Linked DNA regions of Oreochromis niloticus. Each later gene encodes a partner of the first gene's protein in a complex. Links are inferred from orthologs where the notes say so. Each region holds a gene or a part of one and is shown on either strand. Other genes may lie near its edges.

Evidence for each region. The genes of interacting proteins can lie anywhere in the genome.
Region 2: the proteins of fga (region 1) and fgg are in contact, whole or in part, in a crystal structure (PDB 3GHG), measured with the Homo sapiens proteins. The link is inferred for Oreochromis niloticus from reciprocal best matches to the Homo sapiens genes FGA and FGG. Residues at the interface, in NP_000499.1 of Homo sapiens: Trp60, Asn61, Lys63, Cys64, Pro65, Ser66, Gly67, Met70, Leu73, Ile74, Val77, Asn78, Phe81, Arg84, Ile85, Leu88, Ser91, Tyr95, Asn98, Leu105, Ile109, Ile112, Asp116, Ser119, Arg123, Asp124, Tyr127, Val130, Ser131, Asp133; in NP_068656.2 of Homo sapiens: Thr47, Thr48, Cys49, Gly50, Ile51, Ala52, Asp53, Leu55, Tyr58, Gln59, Val62, Asp63, Leu66, Gln67, Leu69, Glu70, Leu73, Thr80, Ile87, Ile90, Gln91, Tyr94, Glu98, Asp106, Ala107, Ala108, Thr109, Leu110, Ser112, Arg113.

The regions. Positions count from the first base shown.
Region 1 is NC_031967.2:50,326,237-50,333,703, reverse strand, and holds the start of fga (fibrinogen alpha chain), read left to right. Parts: upstream 1-4,473; 5' UTR 4,474-4,487; coding exon 4,488-4,538; intron 4,539-6,208; coding exon 6,209-6,310; intron 6,311-6,826; coding exon 6,827-7,010; intron 7,011-7,397; coding exon 7,398-7,467. UniProt on the Homo sapiens protein: Cleaved by the protease thrombin to yield monomers which, together with fibrinogen beta (FGB) and fibrinogen gamma (FGG), polymerize to form an insoluble fibrin matrix. Fibrin has a major function in hemostasis as one of the primary components of blood clots.
Region 2 is NC_031971.2:14,054,942-14,062,622, reverse strand, and holds fgg (fibrinogen gamma chain), read left to right. Parts: upstream 1-4,581; 5' UTR 4,582-4,679; coding exon 4,680-4,742; intron 4,743-4,828; coding exon 4,829-4,876; intron 4,877-4,989; coding exon 4,990-5,176; intron 5,177-5,297; coding exon 5,298-5,382; intron 5,383-5,821; coding exon 5,822-5,952; intron 5,953-6,245; coding exon 6,246-6,379; intron 6,380-6,572; coding exon 6,573-6,757; intron 6,758-6,930; coding exon 6,931-7,208; intron 7,209-7,307; coding exon 7,308-7,492; 3' UTR 7,493-7,679; downstream 7,680-7,681. UniProt on the Homo sapiens protein: Together with fibrinogen alpha (FGA) and fibrinogen beta (FGB), polymerizes to form an insoluble fibrin matrix. Has a major function in hemostasis as one of the primary components of blood clots.

The sequences.
Region 1 (7,467 bases):
CCTTTGACAGTATCACAGTATCAGCTTAAAGCAGCGGTCCCCAACCCCCGGGCCTCGGACCGGTACCGGTCCGTGAGTCGTTTGGTACCGGGCCGCTAGAGTTGAGGCTCAGGTGTGAAATGTATGGTTTTCAGGGTTTTTATTGGTTTTCAGCGTTATTTTGTTATCGTTTTTATCGTTAACTCGGTTTTCCTGGGTCTTTTCACGTGTGTTATGAATAAATCTTCTTTTTTTTGGTACCGGCACTAGTTTTATTTTGTTGTATTTATCCGCGACACCTTATTGCCTGTCCGTGAAAATATTGTCGGGCATAAACCGGTCCGTGGCGCAAAAAAGGTTGGGGACCGCTGGCTTAAAGCACTTGTTGCAGGCTGCCGAGTTTGCATCTTTTGCTGTGAAGTACAGCCAGACTTTTGACCGTTTCGCCTTGGGCATTTTTAATCTGTAGCTCTGCTCTAAAAGAACGTACGTACCTGGCCCCGCCTACTATCCTCAGAAACGTAAAATGATTGGCTAGAATTGGCTCAGGAAAAAAAAAGCACCGAAATGTGCGCTGCTTTTCGGTCTGGTTATTACCGTTTATGTCAGAACCGGACACCGGTACCCATCCCTAATTACAAATAAATATCAAGAATATTGTCAGCAACATTACTGAGTAGAAAAGAGCGTGTGTAAAAAGGACGTAGCTATTGCAGTGTTTACAGTGTATTAGTTGGAGGAGTTGTACAGGGAGATGGCCACAGGCAGGAATGATTTCCTGTGTCGTTCAGTGGTGCTTACGGTGCGCACACACCGAACGCGATAGAGGCGGCCAGAGCGTCAGGTGTACATGTAAAGTCAATGGAAAGAGCGCGATGACACGCGATTGCGCATCCGGCGAACATGCGGAAGCAGATTTGCGTCGCGAAAACGCCAAAACCCGTGAAACGCGCGTCAGTGTACCGCGTGGGGCGCGTTTGACTCGCGAAGAAAACCACGCGTGTCAGATTGTGTGCTGCATTTTGTGCACACGCCCATACCGCGCCAACCGCTGGAGTTGGAAAATATGAACTCCGGCGTCAAATCGCGCCCCGACAACCAATCAGGAGGCCGGTGACGTGGCTGTAACCAGGTCACAGGGGCAGATCAAACCAAAGCTCTTCATTCTTCATTCCGTATGGAGGAAAAACTCATCACTGCCGTGGCTAATCACCCAGAGCTGTATGATGCCAGCTGCTACTTCTACCGAGACAGGAATAAAAAGGACCGAGCTTGGAGGCACAGAAGTGAGGAGATCGGGCAACCTGGTAAGTTCATTCATTCTCCTTTTTAATTTTCAGACTGACCCGATAAAGCCGCGCAAAAGCTAGCAAGCCCGCCTACTGTCCCGCTATTTTCCCACTGATGTACAAATACCTTTCCGCTAACAAGATAATGTGTTTATTCAGAGGACATCTGCAGCACAACACATCTGGCACAACTTCCTCCCACATTTCCGGTCCACGCGCGTGGAAAGATGCAATTTTGAGGCGCGATGGGTTTTTCTTGGACACGCGTTGAGGTGCGAATGTGCACGCGTCAAATTAGGGGCGTTTAGGGCGTTTTCGCTCGCCTCTATCGCGTTCGGTGTGAACGCAGCCAAGTCTCTCACTGAACGTGCTCCTGTGACTGACCAGCATGTCATGTCATGGAGTGGGTGGGAGGAATTATCCAACATTGTCTTTATCTTGGACAACATCCGCCTCTCCGACACCACCTTAAGGGAATCCAGCTCCATCCCCACAACATTACTGTATCGCTTTGTTTTTGATTTGATAAATATTGATGTTCCTTATATTTGGTGTTAATGTGCAGCGCTTTGGTCAGGCTGGTTGTTGTTTTTAAAAGCGCTTTATAACTAAGCCAAGAGTGAATATAAAAAAAAATGTGGGCCGCTAAAGACATTGGGGGAATGGCCCTCCCAAATGTGAAGTTGTATAATTTAGCTTTTGAAATGTCAAGACTGGCCAAGCACTGGACAGGTTCGGACTCTGAGCTGAGCTGGATGAAGATTGAACAGGAACTAGTGAGCCCTTTTACACCCTTGGATGTTCTCTCACAGGGCTCAGCAATTAATGGACAAGACTTTCATAATAACCCAGTGCTCGGGTATTCTAAAGCTGTCTGGGTAGAGGTGCACAAGATGTGTGGAGCCTCTTATTTAAGACAACCTTATACCTCGCTATGGAACAACACTGCTGTACAGATTGGGAGAAAAATGGTGTTCTGGAAGGAATGGCTTGTCAAAGGCATACACAGGATAAGTGATCTTTACTCAGGGGGAGTGTTTATGTCATTCGCTGAAATAACCCAAAAATATGGTTTGATAGGAGAAAATAATTTTTGGAAATATTTACAAATAAGGGATTGTATTACCAAAGGAAAATTTACTCAAAGCACAAATATGGTGGTGGAGTTTTTAGAATTGTCCAGTACAGCACATAGAGCAGCTGTTTTCTACAAACTGTTTAACAATCTAAAAAAAGAGATATGTGAAAACTTGAGGATTATATGGCAGAGAGATTTGAGTTGTGCAATTTCTAAAGAAGATTGGTGTAGAATTTTGTCATTCTCTGATAAATATATAAGAGAGGCCAGGGGTAAATTTACTCAGTACAAATTAATACACAGATGGTACTTCACTCCGTCCAAACTTTATAGAATGGGAATCAGTCCCAGTAATATATGCTGGAAATGTAGTTCAGATCCAGGGACATTTATGCATGCTATTTGGGAATGTGGGAAAGTTTATCCCTTCTGGCAAAAAGTATTGGACAAAATAGGAAGGTGGATTGGTTTAATAATACCCTTGTCACCAAGACTGTGCTTATTAGGGGATCGGTCGGCGTTGCCTGGGGTTTCAAAATATGACTTTGTGGTTATAAAGGTGGGGGTAATTGCAGCGGCCCAAGTTATTCTCAGTGTATGGAAGGAGCCATCTCCTCCAGAATATAATAGGTGGAAAGAAAATATGCTGAAAATGGTGTCGTATGAAAAATTCTTGGCTAGGATTAATGATGATAGGGAGGGTTTTGACAAATCATGGGGACGTGTTTTTGGCTGAGATGGTTGAAATTTATTTGGTCAGGACAATTATCTTTAGTTAAATTTTATGCTTGCTATGTTGTATGTTTGTGTAGGCACTCAGTAACGGAATAACTTAAGAATTTGATTGTATTGTCCTTTTTTTGTGTGTGTACTGATCCCAACCATGGGATTGGAAGCTGTCTTTTTTTTTTTTTTTCCTGTTGTTGTTTGGTTTGTTGTTTTGTTTTTGTTTGTATGTGGTTAAAGGTTAAAAACAAATAAAGACTTTAATTACAAAAAAAAAGCGCTTTATAACTAAAGTAGTATCCTATGGTACAAATAGATTTGTGCTTCAGTTCTGGTGATTGAAATTCCCAAAGTTTTATTTTGTGATGCTAAGCACTAATTAGCTGATATGCATCTCTGCATTTGACCTGTTCAGTTCATAAGTAGCAAGCTGCTAACTTAGCACTCCACACTTTTATCCAGAAAACATAACGTCTGGGTCTTAAAATCCAACATGGGTGCAGCCAGAAGCCTCATGTTGACGTGTAAAAGCAATGGTGGCTACATCCACTCAAGTTTCATAGTGTGAATGCCAACAAAGGAGCAGCATATACACATTTAAAAGAATGGACTTTTAAGATCTGGAGACACCAACCATTTTTAATATAAAGTCTTTGGTGACAAAGTATTTATGATTAGATTGATTTTATATACATTTACCTAATGGTTTACCTTAGAAAGAGAATAAAAATATGAAGCTTTAGCTAAGCGGCTTATACACGTACACCTTAACTTGAGAAGCTAAATCATTATTGTTATTTAAAAATTGTTATACATTTTATCATTGCATTGTTTTTTACCTGTATGTAGTTAACTTTTTTATTCTCTGGTGTTTTTTTGTGAAGCATTTTGTTATCTTTGTATTGAAAGGTAAATAAATGACATTTTACTGACGCATGTAATAATAATACAGAGAGATTCATTTATATTTTAACAAAACCCACGGTAATGCTGTAAAATGGGAGTAAATAGAAACTCTGTTCCATCATTTTAAAATCCTCTAATGTTTTTGTTGCCCTTTTCTGATTGAGTTCAGTTGAGTCAATGTTAGTGTCGTTGGTGTTTGTCACTATTTGGTTGGTGTAAAATGTACAGGAACTGACAAGAAATCCTGCTGCAACTGAACTGAGTAGGCAGCATGTTTGACTTTAGTGTGTGTGTTTGAATGCATTATTTTTGAGTAAAGATACACACAGTACAACAAACACATCGATTAGAAGCTGTTGCTCAACTCTGATCTGACCTGACCAGTGTTTGCTGATGACTCACCGGTTTGTGAAATTGAACCTGGAGGCTTCAAATGATCAGAGAGCAGCGTTAGAAAATCATTCAGCAACAACTCTTCACACAGAGAGCGAGTGACAGAAACGGCAACGATGGAGCGACTCTGTTTCCTTTTGTGTCTGATATGTGTGTCCTCAACACTGGTGAGTTTCTCTGATGTTTTTAAATAATTTTACAAAGATGTGGCACTGAAATTTTTTTTTTTTTTGTCATTTTAGTGTATGTACTGTGTTGTTTAATAAATAACAAGAATAATTATGTATTTACTGATCACTCATATGTTTATTATTTACTGATATGAATACATGAACATAGCATTTGGCTGTTCTATTTATAAAGATGTCGAGCGCACTGTCTTATTCATTATTTACTCTTTTATTTTACTACCTAAGTTTATTAGATATATTTCTGGTAATTATTATTATTATTATTATTGTTGATTTATATGAATATAGTAACAAAAGATTTAGAAGTTGTGGACGTTGGCTTGAGTAGAATGCTGAATACTGATCAATCAAAGAAACAGTCACTATCTTTAGCTGTTTTAACAATTCAAATAAAGGATGTGTAACTTAGCAGACCTAACAAAACAGAGCTTCATTTATACTTACAGTTTTTATATATATATTATTTAAAGCCAGTTAGTTAAATACTGCAGACTGATTAACTACTACTGACCTAAAAATTTTTGTATGTAATATTTAACCTCCTAAGACCCGAACTTTTCCACAGCATGCATTTTTAATTTCTCTTTGATATTTGAGCATATTGGGGCCCGATGAATGTAAAAACAAAGAATTACCAAAATGAAAAATGAGAGCCACATATGAGGATATTCATTTAAAATTTCGATAGAACAGTAGCAGCATAATGTCCTCGTAAGTGAATATCAGGCCCTTGTAGAGCAAAATTGAGTATTTTGGTCTAAATAACCCAAAATGTGATGTCCACATATGTGGACGCCAGGTAAATGGACTGATTCTTAAATAACGCTTTTCTACTCTCCCGGAGTACTCAAAGCGCTCTATACAACATGCCTCATTCACCCATTCATACAAGCACTTCTAAACACAAGTGCAACTAATAAGCATTCACACACATTCACACTCCGATGAACGCATCTTGGGGTTAGTATCTTTTCAAGGATATTTGGCATGCAGACTGAGGCAGCCAGGAATCAAACCACCAACCTTCCAATCAGTAGTTTATCTGCTCTACCACCTGAGCCACAGCCACCCCAGGGTCCTAGGAGGATGATAAGAAAAATAATTATGTACTAATAACAGTATAAAATTGAGTACATTTCAAAATAAATTTGCAATAAATAAATTTGAAAAGTATTTCTGCTTATATAATTATTGTAATTGTGTATTTTACTTTATAAATATTATTAATAAAATCTTTATTTGTGGGTAAGAAGCAAACAATTTAAGTATTTTTAGTCACTAGTATTATTCCAAAGAAACACCTCCTAATTTGAGCAGTTCAGTTGAAATTGGTTATACGTGTTATAATGTACATGTTTGATGTGCAGCATCTGTTTTTAAGATTTTTAGTTAGATTTATCAAAGAAGTTCAGTATGTATCACCAAGCCTTTAACCAGGGTTTTGTTTAAGTAGGGTTTCATTGTAAAAGTCATTGTTGTAGACCAAATGGACTAAAATAGCGGCTCTGTCACAAAGACTCTTTGTTTGCAACTATATGTGCATAGTCACCCCTCAAAAATACATTGTACACCACGAACAACCCAGAGACAATAGCTATGTTTTCTGCCCTAACTAAAACAATGTTGACTTTCTTGTCTTCGTCTAGGCCCAGATTGATCCCAGGGGAGGTCGTCCAGTGGAGCACGGCACCAGAAGTGAAAAATGTGCCACTGAGAAGGAATGGCCTTTCTGCACAGACGTTGAATGGGTATGCAGATTCCCTGTTGTCTCTCAGAGCTCAAGCTAGGCAAAGTTCTTATTGACCTCAATGAATGTGTGCAATTTTAAGATTCAATGTTTACAAGAAAGCTGGACTGGGGAAATTCCAGTTTCTGTCAGTGCAAAAGTCTAACTATGTACTTAATCGATAAGATTTCAAAATTATGTCTTAGTGTTTATATATGGTAAAGAGATGCTGCTATAACAAGTGAAGGAAATCTGTCAGCACGAGCCGATTGCAAGAATTAATGCTTAAAATGACAGAAATCTATAATAACTGGTATATTGTGAATGACCATGAGGGAGGTCTTTATGGGTAGGAAAAACTGTTAAACTTGTGAAAATACACTACAGAATGTACAATCCGGGCCAGACTGGAGCTTTTGTGCCTCTGGTTGTACTGCCAATTATTATAATAACCTGTTGTTCTGTATTTAAATGACTCTGATTTTTATGTGACACAGAAATAAGGAATAATTATGTCTTCTCTTTGGTCATCCATTAGGGCCCTAAATGTCCATCAGGCTGCAGGATCCAGGGTCTGATGGAGAAATACGATCACAATATGCTGAAGAAGATTGAGAAAATCCGCAGCCTGCTGGATCAAAACAAGGCCAAACATCGCTCCGCTGATACGGTGTCGAAACAGACCTACGACTACTTGAAAGAAAAGCTAACCACTGACGCTGGTTAGTGTGGCTTTGTGCACTTCTTCTGTTTCCCAGTCAAGAGTTTAATGGTTACAGGAACCCAGTCTAGGTGGTTATAGGATACCTGGAAGTTGTTTCACAGTTAAATAAATATCTGCATAAACTGATCAAAAGTGCAACCCTAACAAGCAGCTTTAAAGGTGTATCCAGTCATATTTAAAAGATATTTAATAGAAAGAAATGGGACATGGGAGTGCGCACCAGTTTGTGGAAGCCATCATGTTGTTTTATTCCCAGTATTATCTCAATTATTTATATCCAGCAGAACCCTCCCATCTCTGGACAGCTGAAAAAATGTGTTTAAACAAAAGTAAGAATCAGTCCATCCATTTATTAAACTAAATGTTTCCTGTTTTCTTCTACTAGGCAGCGACAACAACTACTTTGACTTGGCCCAGACTCTTCGTCAGAGGATCACAGACATGAAGATTAAAAT
Region 2 (7,681 bases), on another chromosome or scaffold:
AATCTCATGAATAAAAGCAGAGATTTGGCTCTTAGCTGGAGGTTATTTCTCTGTGTAGCTGACATCTAATGTCGAAAACACATCAACAGGCAACATGTAGCACGCACAGCTGTGAATTCACCTGTGGATGGATGATAATGAAGAAGAAGCCACTTTCAGCTGCTCCCCACAGTGGGTAACTCCAAATTTTTGATTTTGTAGAGTTTTACACCAGAGGCTCTTTCTGACACAATCCCAAAAGGGATTTGTGTCTCCAGCTGGAACCAGCGACCTTTTGCTTGCCAAGTAAATGCGTAACCCACAACAATACTCTAGATGAAGTAATGTTTCATAAAAACTGCTACCTGGTCCAGTTTTAAGGGAATCATGAGTAATGTTAAGCTATCATTCAGGACTTTGTGTCTAATGAGTGCGAGGGCCACAAACAGTGCACAGAAGATTGTTATTGTTATGCATTCCACAAAGGTTTGATCTGATGCATTTCTTATTAACACATGAATGCGTATATACAGCAGACAAACACAGGTAGTTGCATTATTAACATAAAAAGTTTACTTCCACAAAAACACACCAGCAGAACCAAATAAAGTCTGTGTGAATTACGCTGACTGCAAATCTGCTACATTTCCTGATATTAGAAGAATTACTGATGATGATAATGTACTTTTTACACATTAGTTTGTGATATGTGGACAACAAAGTGTCAGTGTCCCCGCATGTGTTACTGCAGATCACACCACCTTCAGCTGAGGCGACTTAACCGCGCGCGGCCGCAGGTTGAACCCGAATGTGGCCAAACCGCAAACCTTTGCCCTCCATCCTGGGGAGATTTACGCCACGGTCAAACAGCTCCAGAATTATAGTTGTGACCGCTGAAGCATCCAAACAAGGCTCTTTAAATTTAATTCCTGGTCAGACGACCTGTGAACTATGCTGACTTTGTTTTTCAGCTTTGGTGCTTAAGTTGATTACTGACAGAAGGACGTATTTTCTTAAGATGTGGAATGTGAATGTTTTCATTTTAAAGAAAACTGCATTTATTCTGCATAATATTCTTTGGACCTATTTCCAGAGTATGCACAGTCTTTATAAAGAAAACTAAAAACTTGCTTTTTTTGGTTGCTTTGCATCCTGATAACGTGCGACAGTGTAAGAATGTCAGTCGGGCATGAGTGTGTGAACGCATCGACAACAGCCCAAAACACATCTAAACATCCTGAACCCGGTGTTTAGAGAGCGTGCTCGTGTCTTCATGGCACTTAAAGAAAGAAAGAGGCACTTTCCATCTGGTGTCGCTAGAAAGTTCAGCAAAAGTTCAACACTGTTTAGGTTCATGGGCCTGGCAGTTCATTCTCAGGTCAGCGAGGCTTTATATCCATCCTGGGCCTGTTTTTTTCCACATAATAAAACCTGGTCACACAAAGGTAGTCAAGGTTTATCATTTAATGTCAACATGGGGCCCACAGATCAACCATTATTAAGCTATATTAAGTCACATGTATCTTTAGTGTTTGTTCTGTTGTAATAAAAAGAGGTGTGTTTGCTCACAGCACCTTGAAGAGATGGCCACGGAAAAACAATTTTCAGCAGCTACACCTATTTAAAACTACACAGCATCTTTGGAAGGATCTGTTTACTTACTCGTGTCTGCTTATTTGATTTTTCCACCATACTCTGAAATTATAGCAGTGAAGTCTGCAAACAATTTGACAGTAGAAATAAAAGTCAGTTCATTCATAAAAAGACAGTAGAGGCACTTTCAAACTCATCTGCCTCATGAGAGCATGTTTCCTGTAACTGTGACTCAAACAAGCAGAGCAGCATGAAACTGGAGCCTTGTGATGAGCTGAATTGGTGCTTTTACTGGGCACACACAAAATTGCATTAGTGCATGCATTTTTACCTGTAGTTTAGTTTAATATTAACTGTATTGTCTCGCTCTCTGTTAGTGGGGGTTAGCTTAACCCTCCATGGTATGATCCATGATCCATCCAACTGATCCTTAAAATTTCATTTCATCTTTTTTAATTTAATGGCACAAGACTATTCAGTAAAATGAGGCACAGAAGAGAGTTTGACCTTTGACCCAGGGATGAAGAGATCCTTCCGGGAGCCAAATCCGGATTGGACGTAATGCCAGCTGCTTTTAAGACTAGTGTCTCCTTTATCTCTTTAAATTGAAATAAACATATTAAAAATATGCATGTACAGAAATATATATTTTTTTAAATGTTAAAGTATTTAAAGAAGTAAGACACACTTTGATTTAACTTATTTACCAAAACAGCATTGTTGTAGGTCATTTTCTACAACATTATGCAGTTACATTACAATAATGTTTTGTTTCTAAACTCTGGTCCTTGGAACTGCTTGTTTTAGGTGTTTAGGTGCTTCTATGCCCCCACAGCACTTGATTTAAGTGATTTAATACCCACCTGATCATTTGACGTGTATGAGCAGGGATTACAGTCACGTTCCCAGAGCATTGTGTAATGGCATATATAAGCTGGCAGCATGAACTTGTAGAGAAATGGGTAGAGGATATTAGCTAATTTGATGATTGCTTTGTCAACAGGGAACCCCAAGGGTGAAATTCATGTGATAGAGTAGTATAAAGGCTAGTATAAAATTCCTCATGATGTATGCATGTATCAGTATGTGTATTTTTATGTATGCAGTAGTTAGCAAGAAGGCTTGGGGCTCAAATGCACTGGATTCATGCTTCACTAACTCAGTTAGCTGTTATTTCCCAACACCATAATAAAGGTCAAAAGCCCTCTGGGCCTGTGGACACTGTGGAGTAAAGCTGAATATGTGTTCATGTATTGTCTTATGGGTATTAAACAACTAAGTACTATTGATAAATACAATAAAAGTTCCCTCAGAAACACAGAAGACACGGAAGTCATAGAATCATCTAGAAAATTACATGTGCATTCATGATGAGATTACTTCAGATGGACTGAATAGGACTATATGTCCCTCTAAAATAAAGCAACTTTATAAAATGTTTTATAATGCATTCATCTACAACAAAGCTGTTGTTATTTACATTGACTTGTCCATGAAATTGAAATTAGCCCCTGACAAAGAGTGCTCCAGTTACTCATTAATCATATCTGAGTTTTCTTTGACCACACGCCACAGTTTGGGGTTTTTTCTTTGCTCTTTCATGTTGGTCTGTATTTGCTTCAGTTCAGCTCCAGCTCAGTCAACAATAACGCAGCAGCACATGTGCTCCTTATAAATTAAGCCTGTAACTTAGCTGCTTTGTTTTCCTAGAAAAGTAGATTTTTCCTGCAGAATTAAGGAAGAGGATCGTTAGTGTTCCCCTGCATACATACAGACTGCAAAGTCCACAGGGATTATTCCACTATGATTCTTTCCAACAGCATTTTGTTCACAGACACTTTGTAACAGAAACTTGTTTTCATGAAACTTCAGTAAGGCAAAGCTTACTTCAGTGCTGTCTAATGTAGCTTATTTTCAAAGATTTAGATAGTTCAGAAAATTGTGTTATTGTTGTGTCCCAAGTTTTCTGTTCTTGCTCAGCAACAACAAAAAAATAACCGTTTAAAAGTCAGTTCACTGCATCAGACTGAATCCTGCTAAAGTCTTCAGTTTGTTGGTGTGTTTGGTGTCCTGTATGTGTCTTGTGGGGTCTATTGTGATTCCACTCCCACTAGTGGTTGGTTTTACATGCCTGTGCAGTCAACTTTCAAAATAAAAGTTTCAAAGTATCACAGCCTGCCCTGTTACACTAAAACAGTTTGTCTAGTAAACATATTTTAGCGACATTATAAAGCCTGGTGGATTCACTACAGAAAGGTTTTAAAGCTGTTTGCATTCAGTGATGGCTTTACAAGCAGGCTGCGCGATGTAGTTATGATGAAGGCATTTCCTGCTTTATACCATGACCGTATCATCACATGTCAGAAACCACAGATAACTACTTTGCTAGGGTTAGGGGACCCTTGTTAGGATAGTAAAGAATAGTAATAATTTTAGCCGGCTGACTGAGAATCAAAGTCATCATTAAATAAAATTACTGTTGTCGGGAGAAAAGTCTCATTCAGGCAAGTCTGAATTAAGCAAGCCAAAGTCAGTAATCATCATAATGATTTATTAATGTGTGCTGTTAATAATTGTAATTGTTCATCAGTCTAAAATATAAAAACAATGTGTTTAATCCTGTTTTTGTTCACAGGAACATATTATGGCATTTTTTCAAGGAATGCTTGTTGTCTGTGTTTTATCAAGCAAAGTTTAAGAAAAGTAAATAAACTATGTTACAATCTGAACTCTTGGCTAGAGCGAGCTCAATTGCGCTGGTTTCCAAATTCAATAATACTGTCAGGTCTTAAAGTGCGAGTCACGATTTCTTCCAACTTGTTGACAGCTTTACCATCATCAGAGTTTACAAAGACGTACAGTACATGGCAATCTCATAGAAGTGTCCTTTACCACAGCTATCAGTTGCAGACCGCATCAACTCCTGGCAATGATGTCTGTTGGACATTTGAGTCATGGGATTTTCACAACAAAGTGAGTGGGATTGTTTACCTATGAACCCCTTATCAAAGTCTGGACTGAGGACCTTGTTCAGATAAATAACCAACAGAGTCGAGCTTCTCTTCATTCTCCAACAAGACGAAAACACAACTGGCGGCCAAAGCAACATGGCTCCATCACTTCTTACAACAGCAGGAGGACTTTTGTTACTTTTCTCCTTCTCGTCAGCAGTAAGTCACTGAGCACTCTTGCAGTTTTGCTGATGTAGTTTTATTGAGCATAAAAATTATATTTATTGTTCCTTTTTTTTGTGCAGCAAATCCGAGGAGACAACATACAAGAATGCACCCCCAATGATGGCTTTGTAAGTGCGCAACTTTAAATCAAAGCTTCTTCCAGTATGGATTCTATTATTATAAAAGCACACCATCATAAAGAGTTTTGTTTGTTTTGTTGACATGCTCCATCTGTGTTTAGGGAAAATACTGTCCAACCACATGTGGAGTTGCTGATTACATGCAAAGATATACAGAAATGGTGGACCACGATTTGGACCAGTTGCTAAGGGAACTGGAAACAATTGCCAATTTGACTCGAGGGGCTGAAGAAACAATTACTTACATGAAAGATACAACTGTGGCACATCAAAAGAGCTCTGACCCAGGTAACGCAGTTATTTTGTGACGTTTAATCATCTTAACACTTACATTAATGCGATCAGGTTGAACAGCATATTGATGCGAAATCGAGAATACAGTCAAACCGGCTCATTTTTTCCATTTCAGACGTGCATTTCAAAAAGTCAACAAGTATCCTGGATGATGTTGTTCGGTTTGAGAAGACCATAATTGCTCAAGAACAGCAAATATTGTAAGTTACCTTACCAAAAGTTCAATGCATACTCTTACAACAGTTAGTTACTCCACTGCATTTAGTTACAATGCTCGTTTGTTGATTGATTTTTTTAAATCAACGACATATAAATTATTCTTTTTTTAATATAATGTGTTGTTGCTGAATAAACATGAACTTCTGTCAGGTTCTCAATGTGAAGATGCAAAACACAAAACTCTAAAGGAAGCTTGAAACTGAATTTCTATACATAGCAGCATCAGTGTCCACCTATTCCCACAGTTCAGTGTACTCAGGAGACATTTGTTACCCACACTACGTCCCTAAAAATCTATTGACCTTATACGTTAAATTAGATCTTTGTATAAGTTCAGGTTCATACTTAGGATTCATCTCAGCTTTTTATCTGTGTATAAAACCAAGGTACAGCTCATAGACTGTAATCCTCTCTTTCCAGTGAACTTCAGAACGTAATCTCCTCCAATGAGAGAAGAATGGCAGACTTGAAACAGCTCTCGAATCAGCTGCAGCAGAAATGCAATGAGCCCTGCAGAGACACAGTTGAGATCCAACCCACCACAGGAACAGGTAAAAAAAGAAGAAGAAGAAGAAATAATATGACCTCTAGGTTATTTCTGTTTCACAAGAAGTTTCTCAATCTTGTCTCATCTGAACAACATTTGTTGTCTTTCAGCATTTAGTCACAGGCTAAAATCAATATGCTGCTTCAGAGCAGAGCAAACATTTATCCTAGATGTAATGTCCTGTGACCTTTTGTAGTGGATGTGATTACATAATTATTTACCCAACTTAGAAAATATTCCGGTTTTTGTGTTTCATAATAGGCTGCTCATTTTTAAAAAATATGTTTTTCTAATCAGACTGCCAGGACGTTGCAAACAAGGGCGCCACCACCAGCGGTCTTTACTATGTGAAGCCATTAAAATCAACGGAGCAGTTCCTGGTCTATTGTGAGATTGACAGCTTTGGACGTGGCTTCACAGTAATACAAAGAGTACGTATCATTGATCTTACACTTAGTGATTCCTGTGTATTTTATCTATTTTAATTAATCTTTACATTTATGTAAAATTAAATATTCACTACAATTTTCATTAAGTCATGAAGGCATTAAATCATGTTTTGTTAACTAAGTGGTGAAACCACCCAATAAACTGATGACTCTGATCACGCCTTCCTGCCTACAGAGACGTGATGGCAGTCTGGACTTCCACAAGAACTGGGTCCAGTACAAGGAGGGCTTCGGTTATCTCTCACCAGATGACACCACAGAGTTCTGGTTAGGTAACGAGAAGATTCACGCGCTCACTACCAGCACCAACTTCCCCACTGTGCTCAGGATAGAGCTTGTTGACTGGGAGGGCAACAAAAGGTACACACACACACACACATGATAACAGATTATGTAAGAAAGGGACTTGTGGACAAGGCAAACATGACCGCTCTAGTAGCGAGGTTACCTTAGAGGAAGAAAAGAGATGATTCAACAGTTGTTACCACAAACTAACTTTAGATCCACGATTCTCTGTGGCCGTATTTCTCCAGGTATGCCGACTATAACATGTTCAGAGTGGGGCCAGAGATCGACATGTACCGGATGACCTATGGTTTCTACTTCGGTGGAGATGCAGGAGATGCATTTGATGGTTTTGACTTTGGAGATGACCCCAGCGACAAGTTCTACACAGCACACAACGGCATGCAGTTCAGCACCTTTGACAAGGACAACGACAAGTACGACGGCAACTGTGCTCAGCAGGACGGCTCTGGGTGGTGGATGAACAGATGTCATGCTGCACATTTGAATGGAAAATACTACCAGGGTAAGACCCTCCTGGCTAAAAGCAGCCACAGTTAGCATAAACAGAGACAAAAGTACTAATTAATGTGAGCTCTAAACTGTTTGCATTATCTTTATGCAGGTGGCAGGTACACTGAAAAGGATGCTGGTGAATTTGGCTTCGACAACGGCATCATTTGGGTCACGTGGCACAACCGCTGGTACTCCCTGAAAGAGACCACCATGAAGCTCATTCCCCTCAGTCGCATCACAGCAGGAGGACAGCAGGCTGGAGTCAAACAGTTTGGTGGACTTGGAGACGCTTAAAAAAAGGGACCAGGTTTTTGTTATGCTCTCACTAACAGCCCTGAAAACTCCTTAGATTAAATAAAATGCCTCCATGGAAACTTACTGACTTTTTGTTTTTCTGTAATGTCTCCATTATATCTGAGTTCCTTTTTCCTCTTCACTGTTTTTCAGATCTTTAAATAAAACCACTTTGCTTCTCTAGAAATG